3 linked regions of the Cricetulus griseus genome follow. Each later gene encodes a partner of the first gene's protein in a complex. Links are inferred from orthologs where the notes say so. Each region holds a gene or a part of one and is shown in the gene's direction. Other genes may lie near its edges. The genes, in order: Gle1, Nup42 and Ddx19b.

Region 1 (3,615 bases):
TCTGCCTGCCTCTGCCTCTGCCTCTTGAGTGCTGGGATTAAAGGCATGCGCCACCAACACTCGACTGCAAAAGTTCTCTGACTTTCATGATTACATCTGTAAGCCCACAAGCACACACACACACACAGTGTAATCTTTTACCAAAAACAAAAGATGAAATAGAATTTTGAATACTTATGAATCACCACTAATAGATGTTTTACAAATTACAGCTTTTTATTTGTTACTGAGGCAATACAGCCCAGGCTGACCTCAAACTCAATGCCTCCTTTTAACTTGTTTTGCTGGATCAAAGACCTGCACCCAGCTCTAATCAGCATGTTTAACTAGCATATTGTTGTAACTCCCACCACCTACCTTTGTTTTTGTTCTTTTTGACTGTGTGTGTGTGTGTGTGTGTGTGTGTGTGTGTGTGTGTGTGTGTTTGTGTGTTTCCATGGAGGTTAGTAGTGGACCTGGAGTTCTATGTGGTTGTGAGCCACCTGACAAAGTTGCCAGGAACCAAACCCAGATGATCTGCAAGATTAGCAAGTGCTCTTAACCGCTGAACCATTTCTGTAGCCGCCTGTTTTTTGTTTTGTTTTGTTTTTGTTTTGTTGTTTGTGAGAGGATCTTACGATATAGTCTACATGGCTTCGAACTTAAGGCATTGTTCCTCCTACATCAGCCTTTTGAGTGCTAGGATTACTGGCATATGCACCATATACTTGGTTTTGTCACAAACTTTTTTTTAAAAAGATTGCTCTGGTTGGGTGGTGGTGGCACATGCCTTTAATCCCAGCACTTGGGAGGCAGAGGCAGGTGGATCTCTGTGAGTTCGATGTCAGCTTGGTTTATGGAGTAAGTTCTAGGACAGGCTCCAAAACTACACAGAGAAACCCTGTTTTGAACCACGCCCCAAAAAAAAGAAAGAAAAAAGAAAAAAGGTTGCTCCATTGTTGGTTGCTATGGATGTGATTAGGATAAACCTTTTGTTGTAGTTGTGTGCGTGTGTGCCCGCACACATGTGTGGAAGTCAGAGGACAATTGTGTGGGGTCAGTTCTCTCTTATTGTTGTGGAGGTTCCAGGTATTAAATTCTGTCAGAGTTGCTAAGCAAGTACCTTTACCTACTGAACTATCTCAATGGCAATTTTTTTTTTTTTTTTTTTTTTTTTTTGACGCAGTCTCACTGTGTAGCCCTGGCTTGTCTCAGAGTTGTAGCAATCTTCCTGCCTCTATCTCTCAGGTGCTAAGATCACAGACATGAGTCACCACTCGCAGCTCTATGATAGTAAATCTTTAAGAGAACAGAAAAAGAGTAGGTATCAATATTTGATCATGTATATACCTTGGTCCAACAGTTTTACTTCAGCAATGTATTGTGTGGTGTGAGTTAGCCCCACAATGGTACCTAGGAAATGAATGTTAAATATTGTCTCTCACTTTGACAGAGTGGTTATCCCACAGCAGAGAACCAAGCTGAGGCTGAGAAAACCCTGCAGGAAATGCGGGACCTCCTCTCAAATTTGGAGCAGGAAATCACCAGAGCCTATGAAGTCAAGAAGAAGCAGGATGAAGAGGAGGCCCGGGCCAAGATGCAAGAATCACAGGTGCAGCAAGGTTCAGGGGCTCCCACCCAGCCCCCAGTGCACAGTCCAGGCCCAGCAGTGACACAGAATGAAGGTAAGTGTGAATGCAGTCCTTCAACTGTTTAAGTGTCAGGATATTTAAGGCAAAACAAACATATGTGTGAGAGACAGAGACAGAGACAACAGAGACACAGACTGAGAGAGACAGAGGGAGAATGTGTTACACTACAGAATGGCCCAGTTCATCAGAATTTTTACATAATGTGTTTTAGTTGATCTGGAACCAATTTCAGATTCTAGCACTTTCCACAGGGACATTAAAAGGCTGTTTATGTCTAATGGGTATGTTATTCCAAATATTGCTACTGCTACGTATTTTATTTTAAAAGAATTGCTTGTAGCTGGAGAGATGGCTCAGAGGTTAAGAGCACCACCTGAGTTTCAGTCATGGCAACCACATGGCAACCCACAACCATCTGTAATGAGATCTGGTTTATATTAAGTATTATGTACAGAGAACCTTGTTTAATATGTTTGAGGATCACATAGCAATGTGTTTAGCCAGACAGTGGAATCTGTTTCTACTTGTATATCAGTTTGACCTTAGCAAACAACCTTTTTGTGTCTGTGTCTTTACTCATTAAATGGAAATAGTAGAAGTCTCTACTTCATAGTTGATTGTGACCACTAAAACAGCCAATGCATAGTGCGGTGCATAGAATAGTCAAAGCTTATGTGGCATGTTAAGTAAGCTCACTGCCATTAAGGCCTGTCTTATTCTCAGACCTGCAGGTGAAGGTACAAGATAGTACCATGCAGTGGTATCAGCAACTTCAGGATGCTTCTGCCAAATGTGTGTTGGCCTTTGAGGGCCTGACCAGCAGCAAGGACAGTCAGGTAGGGGAGAGTTGGATGGCAACAATTCTTGTGGTATGCCCCACAGCCTGAGCCCCACAGCCTGACATTCTAAAAGAATGTACTTATGTCATGTTCCTTCATCCTAAAGGCATGGGCTCAGCTACTTAAAACCATCTGTCATGTCACCATTCTCTTTTGGCAGGCTAAAAAGATAAAGATGGACTTGCAGAAGGCAGCCACCATCCCAGTGAGCCAGATCTCCACCATTGCAGGTGGGTCAATGGTTCACTTCGTTTCATTTTTGCAAACTGATTGCTTTGAGGTTGTTATACAAAGTGTGTTTTCAGGGCTTGGGATGTGGCTTAGTGGCAGAGTACTTGCCAAGTATGAGCAAGGGCCTGGGACCAATCTCTACTAACACACACACACACACACACACACACACACACACACACACACACACGCACAGTTCAAATTTGTGTTGGTTGCACACATTTTTTTTCTCTTCAAACAGAAGATTGATGTGATGAGTCCAGTAGTGCAGGTCTGTAATCCCAGCTGGTTGAGGGAAGGCCAGAGGATCATAAATTCAAGAACAACCTGTATGAAGTGTAATGCACTAAGAACTTATCTCAAAAGGAGAAAGTCCGGAGACACTGGGGATGCAACTAGTAGAACACTCAGGCCTGTACTAGGCCTAAGGCAATACTCAGTAGCATAGAAAGAAAAAAATAAATATTTATTGTCTCTCTTTGGAGGGGTTCAAATGATTTTATTGAGAAGCTGGGAGGTGGGGGAGCTAGGTAGGCTCATTTATTTATTTGTATTTGTTTGTTTTAGTTTTTTGAGACATGATTTCTTTATGTAGCCTTGGCTGTCCTGGAACTAGCCTGTAGACCAGGCTTGCCTTGAACTCATGGAGATTCGATCTTTTTATTTTTTTTATGGTGTTGGGGGTTGAACACCACTGAGCTACTGATTCTAATTTGTTTGTTTTATTGAGTTAGTGGGCTAGCTCAGACTGTGTATCCCAGGCTGTCCATGAATCCATCTTAGCTGATGGGTGTTCTTGATTTAAGACATGTGCCACAACCCTTGTCTCATGCATGTTGTTTTAAGGGTTTTACTTCTGTGTCTGTGCAGGTATCTGTATTATGTGAGTAGATGAGTCTATGTGCGAGTGAACC
Region 2 (4,139 bases), on another chromosome or scaffold:
GGTGCAGCCCACACTCCCAGTGTCTTCTCCTCAGTAAAACGTTACTGGAAGCATCCTCAAAGACATGCCCAGAGGTAAATCTGTGGGGATTTTAAATATAACATCTTGGAAGTCCAGAGATGTGTGTCTATGGTGATACTAAATGTAATCAACTCGACAAGATTAACCATCACAAGTGTTACGCTTACTGATTAGAATTTTGCTTGACATCTTTCCATCCTCTGGCATAACTAAGATGTAAAATGAGACTAAAGATGTACTTAGGAGTCCCTGAGCTGTCTCCAACTCAGTTTGTCCCCACTATCCAATTTTAATTTCCAAGAGCACTTCCATTTTTCTTTAAGAAGGAGCAAGCTACCACCACACTTTACCTCGGCATCTCAGCTTCTCTCCCTGCTACATCTTGTTTCTGTCCAGCTATCTCATTTCCTGTCTGTCTGTACAGACCTCCAGACCTCTATGGTTAGCTAGTGACAAGCTCCAGTCTCTGACCTTCAGAAAGGCTTTATTTGTACAAGCAAGCTATCACCACACTTATATAGTATACTTATACAGGATCCTGTTTGAGAACTGCGAATACATGGAATGTGCCGTGTGTGTGTGTGTGTGTGTGTGTGTGTGTGTGTGTGTGTGTGTGTGTGTGTGTGTGTGTGTGTGTTTATAGCACTTAGAAGCCAATAGGTGGGTCTCTGTTTTCAAGGCCAGCCAGGGCTACATAGTAAGACTATCTCAAAAAAAGGGGGGGGGGGGAGTCGGAGGAGGAAGAAATGGAATGTTTACAAAAATCCCTATCTGAAGCTGTGTATCTGAGAAAAAAGTGCGCTGCTTCTGTGCCAGTTTTCCAGACAACCTTAATTCTTTTGATAAAATTTCAAAAGGCAATATTTACATGAAATTTTACGAACAAGATTTCTCAGTGTGCAGAAAGAAGACATTACCAGCTAAGGAGCTATTTATTACAATGCTTTTCGCCTGGGGTGCACCCTGTTTCCTAGTGACAGCTGACTTTCTCTGAGTCGCTCTCTTGTTTACCTTTTCTTGTCTAAATAAATGTTAAGAACGACTGGGCCTCGCAAACTGTAGACAACTAGAGCCTTGGTGGTTGTCGGCGACATCTGGTCCCCTCCAGATGAGGGCCCTGTTCCCAGGCTCAGCGCCCCTGGGCGGGACGGGTCTGCTCTTCTCAAATCCCATTGGCTGAAGTCCACGCCTCTCACCGCACCGGAGCCGGATCACAGAACCTCCGGACGCGGGGGGATGACGTCACATTGGCGACGGGGCTTGGGCTGCTGGAAACTGGGCTGTCCCTACCGACCTGAAGACCGACCGGGAGCTGGGCCGGCGCTGCAATGACCATTTGCCAGTTTTTCCTTCAAGGCCGGTGCCGCTTCGGAGACCGCTGCTGGAACGAGCATCCCGGCACGCGGGGCGCGGGCGGAGCCCGGCAGCCGCCACTGCAGCAGCAGCAGCAGCAGCCGCAGGCGGCGCCCTCAGGTGACCGTCCCGGAGAGCGAGCCGGGGTCCGGGCCAGGGTCCGGGCATGAGGACGCGTCCCAGCCCCGCCCGGGTAGTCCTTTCGGCTCACCAGACAGCCCGGGCTTTGCACCTGGGCGCCAGGGCCAACACTGCGCTTTCAATTAGGAGCACATCTTACCAAAACCACTTTGTTGACGCCGGGCAGTGATTGGGAGAATTCGCGTGGGTCCGTCCGGACCTCTGGCCCTGCTTCCCCCTCCCTTGTCCTTGATCGCATCCTCTTAAAATGTGGGCTTTCGTTGGTAGGGTGGGACGCTGGGCTAAGAACGTACAGGAAAGAGTATTCAAGGAACCAGGCATTAAACCAGCCGCACCACACAAGGTTTTAAAAGCCTGTTTAGTAGATTTATGAAAGCTGAACTCAGCATATATCTTTATTTTCCTATGGATTTCTAATCCTCTTGATCTTATTTTTAAATTTTTTTTTATTTTATGTACATTGGTATTTTGCCTACATGTGTATCTCTATGAGGCCAGGTGTGTTAGTGTATGACTCTAATCACAGCACTGTGGAGGCGTGACAGGCAGGTCTCTGAGTTCTAGACCAGCCAGGGCTACATAGTGAGGCCCTGTCTCAAACAAACAAACTCAGATCCCTGGAATCTGAATTACAGACAGTTGTGAGCTGCCATGTGGGTGCTGGGAAATGAACACAGGTCCTCTGAAAGCCAGTGCTCTTAACTGCTGAGCCTCTCTCCAGCCTATTGGTCTCATTTTTGTTATTTGTTGTTCGGTTTGGTTTGGTTTGGTTTTGGGTTTTTGGTTTGGTTTGTTTGTTTGAGATAGGGCCTCACTATGTAGCCCTGGCTGGTCTAGAACTCATAGAGATCTGCCTGTCACTCCTCCACAGTGCTGTGAATAGAGTCATACACTAACACACCTGGCCTTAATCTCATTTTTTAAATGCAATTAGAATATTACATGATTTGTTAGAACATGTAACAAACAAATCATAAAGGTATTGTCATTTAAAAGTGGTAGAAAATAGCACTTTATTAGTCTTTGTATAATTTCTGGACATAATGAGATAAAATATAGTGGGGATTTCCAAGATTTGAAAAAGTTACCAGTTTTGGGACTCTAATTTTCTTTATTATTTAGGAAGTAACAGGCGTGGGTGGAATGCCAACAGCCAGAGATACTCCAATGTCATCCAGCCATCCAGCTTCTCCAAGTCTACACCATGGGGTGGCAGCAGAGATCAAGACAAACCATTTTTCGGCTCTTTTGACTCTGGGCCTTCCACGAGCAGAGGCTTTGGATCGCCGCCTCAAAATCCTTTTGCTTCACCTGTCTCTGATGAGCAGAAAGATGAAAAGAAACTTCTGTAAGTTAAAGTTTTGTAGAAAGTCACTACCCAGTTGCTTGGTTGTTCCAGAAGCACTTAGTGTTTTCTTTGAAAAAGACTAATTTTGAAAATCAGAGTAAGCAGAACTATTTTTTCAAAGGTTAGTCATTGTCCTCTGCAGTCTTTAGAGTGCTGGGTAACTCAGAACAACTGTAATCCTGTAGATACTGATAATAGCACTTACTTTCTTTGTAAATCCTTTATTTCAGTTACCCTATTTGAAGTTCCATAAATAGTGGATTTTCAGTTTTTGGTTTTTGTTTGTTTGTTTATTTTGGTTTTTGGTGGGGAGAAGGGGATATTTTGTTTTAAGACAGGGTCTCCTTGTGTAGCCCTGACTGGCTCAGAACTCACAGAGATCTTATTATCTGTGCCTCCAGAACGCCCAGCTGCTGAATATCGAACCTAAATTTTCAAGTGTATTGATCAAGCATCAAGTGTGTGTGTGTAAAGAAAGCAAAGTTGTGTTTATTGTGATTCTAACTGTAATAACATATTCTTTGTGACACCTATCAGTTTACTAATGGTCATATTCTAGATGGAAAGAAACTTTAATTTAGAGCCAACTCCATCCACAGCTTTGTTTCAGATTAACTGTTCAGTGCATGGACCTGGGGGCTGGTGAGGTTGCGGGGGAGGTCACAGGTTAAGAGAATTAACTGTTCCTCCAGAGGGCCTGGGTTCAATTCCCAGCACCCACATGGCAGCTCACAACTGTCTGTAACTCCACGATCTGACACCTTCACACAGACATACGTGTAGGCAAAACACCAATGCACATAAAAAAAAAATTTTAATACTTTAAAATTGTATTTCTGATACTGTGTTGTATTTAGTTCTTTAAAAAATATTATATTTCAGATTATTCTTAACTATTATTAGGCATTCTGTGAATTAGAAAGCAACACTATTACTTATTATAGATTATTTATAACTACAAAATACAAGGTGTTGTTTTAGAAGCAAGTTCTCGGGGCTGGAGAGATGACTCAGCGGTTAAGAGCACCGACTGCTCTTCCAGAGGTCCTGAGTTCAATTCCCAGCAACCACATGGTGGCTCACAACCATCGATTATAAAATCTTGTGCCCTCTTCTGGTGTGCAGATATACATGGAAGCAGAATGTTGTATACATAATAAATAAATAAAATCTTTAAAAAGAAAAAAAAGGAAACAAGCTCTCAATGTGCTGATTGGCCTTAAACTCTGTGTGATACCCTGCAAGCCCTCAGAATCCTCCTCGGCCAATCCTGGTG
Region 3 (4,079 bases), on another chromosome or scaffold:
TTTTTCCCCAGGATTTCTTCTGACTCGCAATATGGTCATGGCTCCCAGCCTGTGCTTGGTTGTCCTCTGCCTGCACCATCCTTACGTACTCACCATTGCTTGACATTAATTTGTCATGTAATATTAGTAAAATGTTTTCATAAAGTTCCAAGAAAATTCTCCAATTCCTTCCAAGAAGTAGCCAGGGATAAAGGCCTATTTGATCCCAGTTAGGGGAAAGCAAGTATTTCAGTCCTTATTTTACTATTCTAAAAACTAGAGCTATTTCCTCCTCTTAAAGATTATCCAGGGCTCCAAAGCTACACAGAGAAACCCTGCCTCAAAAAACCAAACCAAAATAAAATAAAAATTATCCAAAACTAAGGCTGAAGAGATGGCTTAGAGGTTAAGGGTGCTTGCTGCTCTTGCAGAGGACCTGGGTTCAATTCCCAACACCAACATGATAGTTCACAACTATCCATAACTCCACTTCTGGGTATCCAATGCCCTCTTCTGACTTTTCTGGGCTCCAGATACACATATAGTGCACAAAGGCATGCAAGCAAAACACTCATACACATAAAATAAGCAAGTTTTTTTTGTAATTATCCAAAACGAAATAAATAAAACTCCAGCTACACAGCCTTTACATAGGAGAGGAGAGCTGGCCATCCGAAGAAGGCATAGATGATTCCAAAATCCATATATTTCCTTATTAAATGGCTCTTGCCACCAGGGATTGAATTGGATTGGTTGGATAAACTGACTTACTCTTTCTGGTTTCTGATATTTTACCAAAATTTTCAATTTATCAAGAATTTGGTGTTTTCAAAACTCAATTTGGGACAGATCTTTGTTTCACAGGACTGATTGCCAATACTTAGAAATCTTATTAAATTGATAAGAACAGACACTAAGTAAGCTGAGGCATTTTAAATAACCTGAAAAGTTAAAACAGCTATTTGCTTGCTTATGTATTCTGAATGTAATAGTTATATGAGCCCCTCTATACCACCATGCTGGGTGTGAAGGTGATTTCCCTCCTTTAGTCAGAGAGCATTTAGTCTAGGCTACCTCAGTTGGGTAGTAGGGCAATCTGCAGCGAAGTGGTAGAGGCGGGGACCTGAAGACTACCTTAGAGTTGCCAGGACTTTAGGGGCGCAGAGCTGACGCGGGCTCTGACGACACCGCGGTGCGCCGCTTCCGGTCGTCTGCGCCTCAGTGAATGATTTCCCCCGGGGCGGAGCTGGGCCTCGCCGCGACCCACCTGAGCCCACGGCCGCGCCGCCTAATCGGGCGAGCCTGTCAGCACTGCCCCGGCACTGGGGACCATGGCCACGGATTCATGGGCCCTAGCGGTGGACGAACAGGAAGCCGCGGCTGAGTCGGTGAGTTGTCACCAGCCGCTGGAGGACCATGGGACCAGTGCCGGTCAGGATCGCGGTCTCTTGGAAAGACACTGTTTAGGTTGCTCGGTGCAGGGCGGAGGAGCCTGGCGGGAATGGGACTTGGCCCCAAAGCTGGCTTTGCTTACCCAGCCCCTCCCACGTTGTATAAACTCAATTTGGGTGATCCAGCCATCTGCCTGTCTTCCTGGAATCAGGGTTGATAATCGATTGCACTCACAACCTCGGATGGCAATTTTTATGTAGCTTCAGATACAAGTTTCTTGGGCTCACGGACCATGTCTTACTCATTTATAACTCCTCCCACTGGGTTATTGGTGCTGGATGATTGACTGGTTTGGCAGTAAATCCTCTCTTGATTAGCTCTTTTTCTTAGCCTGATACATTGTAGCAAGACGTGAGTTAAATATTGCTATGTACAAGTAATTTACAAACATTCTGAAATTTAGTAGAGATTTGAATGTGACTCTCAGTACATATATCTGTGTATTTTCCAAGAATAAGTATTTGTCCGATTTAACTTTTTTTTAGTAAAGAGTAAAGGTTTCAGCCTGGCATGATCTGGCACCTCTCATCATATCTCTTAGAGGCATAGGCAGGAAGATTGCCTCAAGTTGAAGGCCACCCTGAAAGAAAAAATATTTAGTTTAGCTTAAAACTTTTATTATAATATATATAGTAATATAATTATTTACCCACATGGTTTAAAGAGAAGTAGTGTTTTGGACTTTGTTCACTTATTTGGGTATTTTTAATTTTTTCTTTTCTGAGACAGAGGACCTTGAATGAATGTATGTATGTATGTATGTATGTATGTATGTATGTATGTATGAATGACTGACTGACTGGAACTCCTGATCCTCTGTCTCTTATGTCCTGAGTGCTAGGATCACAGGCCTGCATCACTGTGCCCTGTTTGAGAAAAGTGTTCTTTTTTCTTTTTCTTTTTTTTCCTTGAGACATGGTTTCTCTGTAGCCTTTTTAAAAATTAATATACAAAGTGCTAGGTTTCACCATAGCATCTTTATACATATGTGTATGATTCTTTGTCCTTCCCTTACTCTCCCTCGGGTGGCTTCCCTCCAGCTGGGTTCCCTTTCTTCACCTGTGTAGCCTCCCTCCTGCTTTCCTGTTAACTTTATTTCCCACCTACCATAAGACCTCTTCCTCCTCCCTCATGACCTCCTTTCTAGTTTTGTGACCTATAAATACACAGATAAATAGGTGTACAAACACCAATATATATAATTTTGCATTATGAGCAAAAACATGTGTTTGTTTTCCTTGGTCTGGTTTATTTTGCTTAACATAATGATTTCCAGTTGTACTCATTTTGTGCAGGTAACATGAGTTCACTTTTCTCTATAGTTCCATAAAATTCCACTTTGTATACCACATTTGCTTTATCTATTCATCTATGAATGGACTTCTAGGCTAGTTCCATTTCCTGGCTGTGTAGCTATAAATACAGATGTGTAAGTATCTCTGTAGTATGTTGACTTTGTCTTTCATCCTTTGAATACACAAGAGTGGTATAGCTGGATCATGTTCTATTATCAGTTTTGTTTTGTTAATGTCTGTACTGATTTCTGTATTGGCTTCATTAACTGATCTGGTTAACATTTCCCAAGTGCTGGGGTTACAGGAATGCATAGTTGTCATGCACAGTTCATGCAGTTTGTGGAACTGAACTTAAGAGTTTCCTGTGTGGTAGGCAAGCACTCTACCAACTGAGCTACATTCCCAGCCTCATATTTCTTTTTCTTTTCTTTTTTTGTGGGGGGGATTATCTACTTGGTTATTGGCCCATTCATTAATTGAACAGTTTGGGCCTTGGGGGTTTATTTTTGCACTTCTTTTAAAAAATTAAGACAATTTTATTGATTGCATGTAATTTTATGTATGTTAGCATATATTACAAACTTTAACTCACTATATAGCCCAACTGGAATTTAATTTTCTTCTTTTTTTTAAATATTTATTTATTATGTGTACAGTGTTCTCTCTGCATGTCTGCTTGGATACCAAATCTCATTACAGATGGCTGGGAGTTACCATGTGGTTGCTGGGAATTGAACTCAGGACCTCTGGAAAAGCAGCCAGTGCTCTTAACCTCTGAGCCACCCCCTCCCCTGGAATTTAATTTTCAGCAGTCCTTCTACCTCAGTTTCCCCCAGTTTGAGGATTACAGGTTTGAGCTACCAGGCCAAGATCCCAGTTTTGATTAAAATGTTATCTTTTAATTAAATGGACTTTCTGTATTTATATTATTATTTCCTAAGTACTTTTTTTTTTTTTTTTTTTTTTTTTTGAGACTGGGTCTCTCTACATAGCCCTGGTTGTCCTGGAACTCACTATTTATGCTAGGTTGGCTTTGAACTTACAGAGATTCACCTGCTTCTGCCTCACAAGGGCTGGGACTAAAGGCATATGCCACCATGACTAGCTCTTTAAATTTTTAAAATTACATGTATCTGGCTTTGTGTGTGTGTGTGTGTGTGTGTGTGTGTGTGTGTGTGTGTGTGTGTGTGTGTGTGTATGTGTGGTGGGGAGGGGAGGTCTTGCCATAGCACGAATATGGGAGCCAGAAGACAACTGGTGGAATTGCTTCTTTCCTTGTACCATGTAGGTCCTGAGGATTGAACTCAAGTCTTCAGGTGTGGTGGCAGATGTCTACCCTCTGAGTCTTCTTGG

Evidence for each region.
Region 2: the proteins of Gle1 (region 1) and Nup42 are in contact, whole or in part, in a crystal structure (PDB 6B4I), measured with the Homo sapiens proteins. The link is inferred for Cricetulus griseus from reciprocal best matches to the Homo sapiens genes GLE1 and NUP42. Residues at the interface, in NP_001003722.1 of Homo sapiens: Ile385, Ile593, Leu598, Asn599, Trp602, Arg603, Ala606, Gln607, Leu609, Asn610, Gln636, Tyr637, Gln638, Val639, Gln640, Lys643, Met644, Ile646, Leu647, Glu650, Asp651, Tyr652; in NP_001357375.1 of Homo sapiens: Asp185, Asn186, Val187, Leu188, Phe189, Gln202, Phe203, Gln204, Ser205, Lys206, Lys207, Phe208, Leu210, Gly211, Lys212, Ile213, Pro214, Leu215, Lys216, Pro217, Pro218, Leu222, Leu223, Asn224, Val225.
Region 3: the proteins of Gle1 (region 1) and Ddx19b are in contact, whole or in part, in a crystal structure (PDB 6B4J), measured with the Homo sapiens proteins. The link is inferred for Cricetulus griseus from reciprocal best matches to the Homo sapiens genes GLE1 and DDX19B. Residues at the interface, in NP_001003722.1 of Homo sapiens: Lys416, Lys419, Met420, Gln423, Lys424, Thr427, Ile428, Ser431, Gln432, Ile433, Ser434, Thr435, Ile436, Lys440, Gln458, Ser459, Gly460, Lys479, Lys483, Lys486, Gln487, Glu490, Glu491, Ser494, His495, Gln554, Gln562, Asn565; in NP_009173.1 of Homo sapiens: Cys325, Asn326, Tyr328, Gly329, Ala330, Ile331, Thr332, Ile333, Ala334, Glu356, Gly357, His358, Gln359, Arg378, Arg380, Glu381, Gly382, Lys383, Glu384, Lys385, Glu400, Gln401, Ser403, Phe433, Gly434, Lys435, Arg436, Asp469, Asp470, Leu471.

What each region holds. Positions count from the first base shown.
Region 1 is NC_048599.1:141,609,931-141,613,545, forward strand, and holds part of Gle1 (nucleoporin GLE1), read left to right. Parts: intron 1-1,432; coding exon 1,433-1,664; intron 1,665-2,354; coding exon 2,355-2,467; intron 2,468-2,630; coding exon 2,631-2,700; intron 2,701-3,615. UniProt on the Homo sapiens protein: Required for the export of mRNAs containing poly(A) tails from the nucleus into the cytoplasm. May be involved in the terminal step of the mRNA transport through the nuclear pore complex (NPC).
Region 2 is NC_048601.1:92,376,200-92,380,338, reverse strand, and holds the start of Nup42 (nucleoporin NUP42), read left to right. Parts: upstream 1-1,261; 5' UTR 1,262-1,349; coding exon 1,350-1,494; intron 1,495-2,637; coding exon 2,638-2,863; intron 2,864-4,139.
Region 3 is NC_048596.1:187,430,971-187,435,049, reverse strand, and holds the start of Ddx19b (ATP-dependent RNA helicase DDX19B), read left to right. Parts: upstream 1-1,213; 5' UTR 1,214-1,310; coding exon 1,311-1,367; intron 1,368-4,079. UniProt on the Homo sapiens protein: ATP-dependent RNA helicase involved in mRNA export from the nucleus.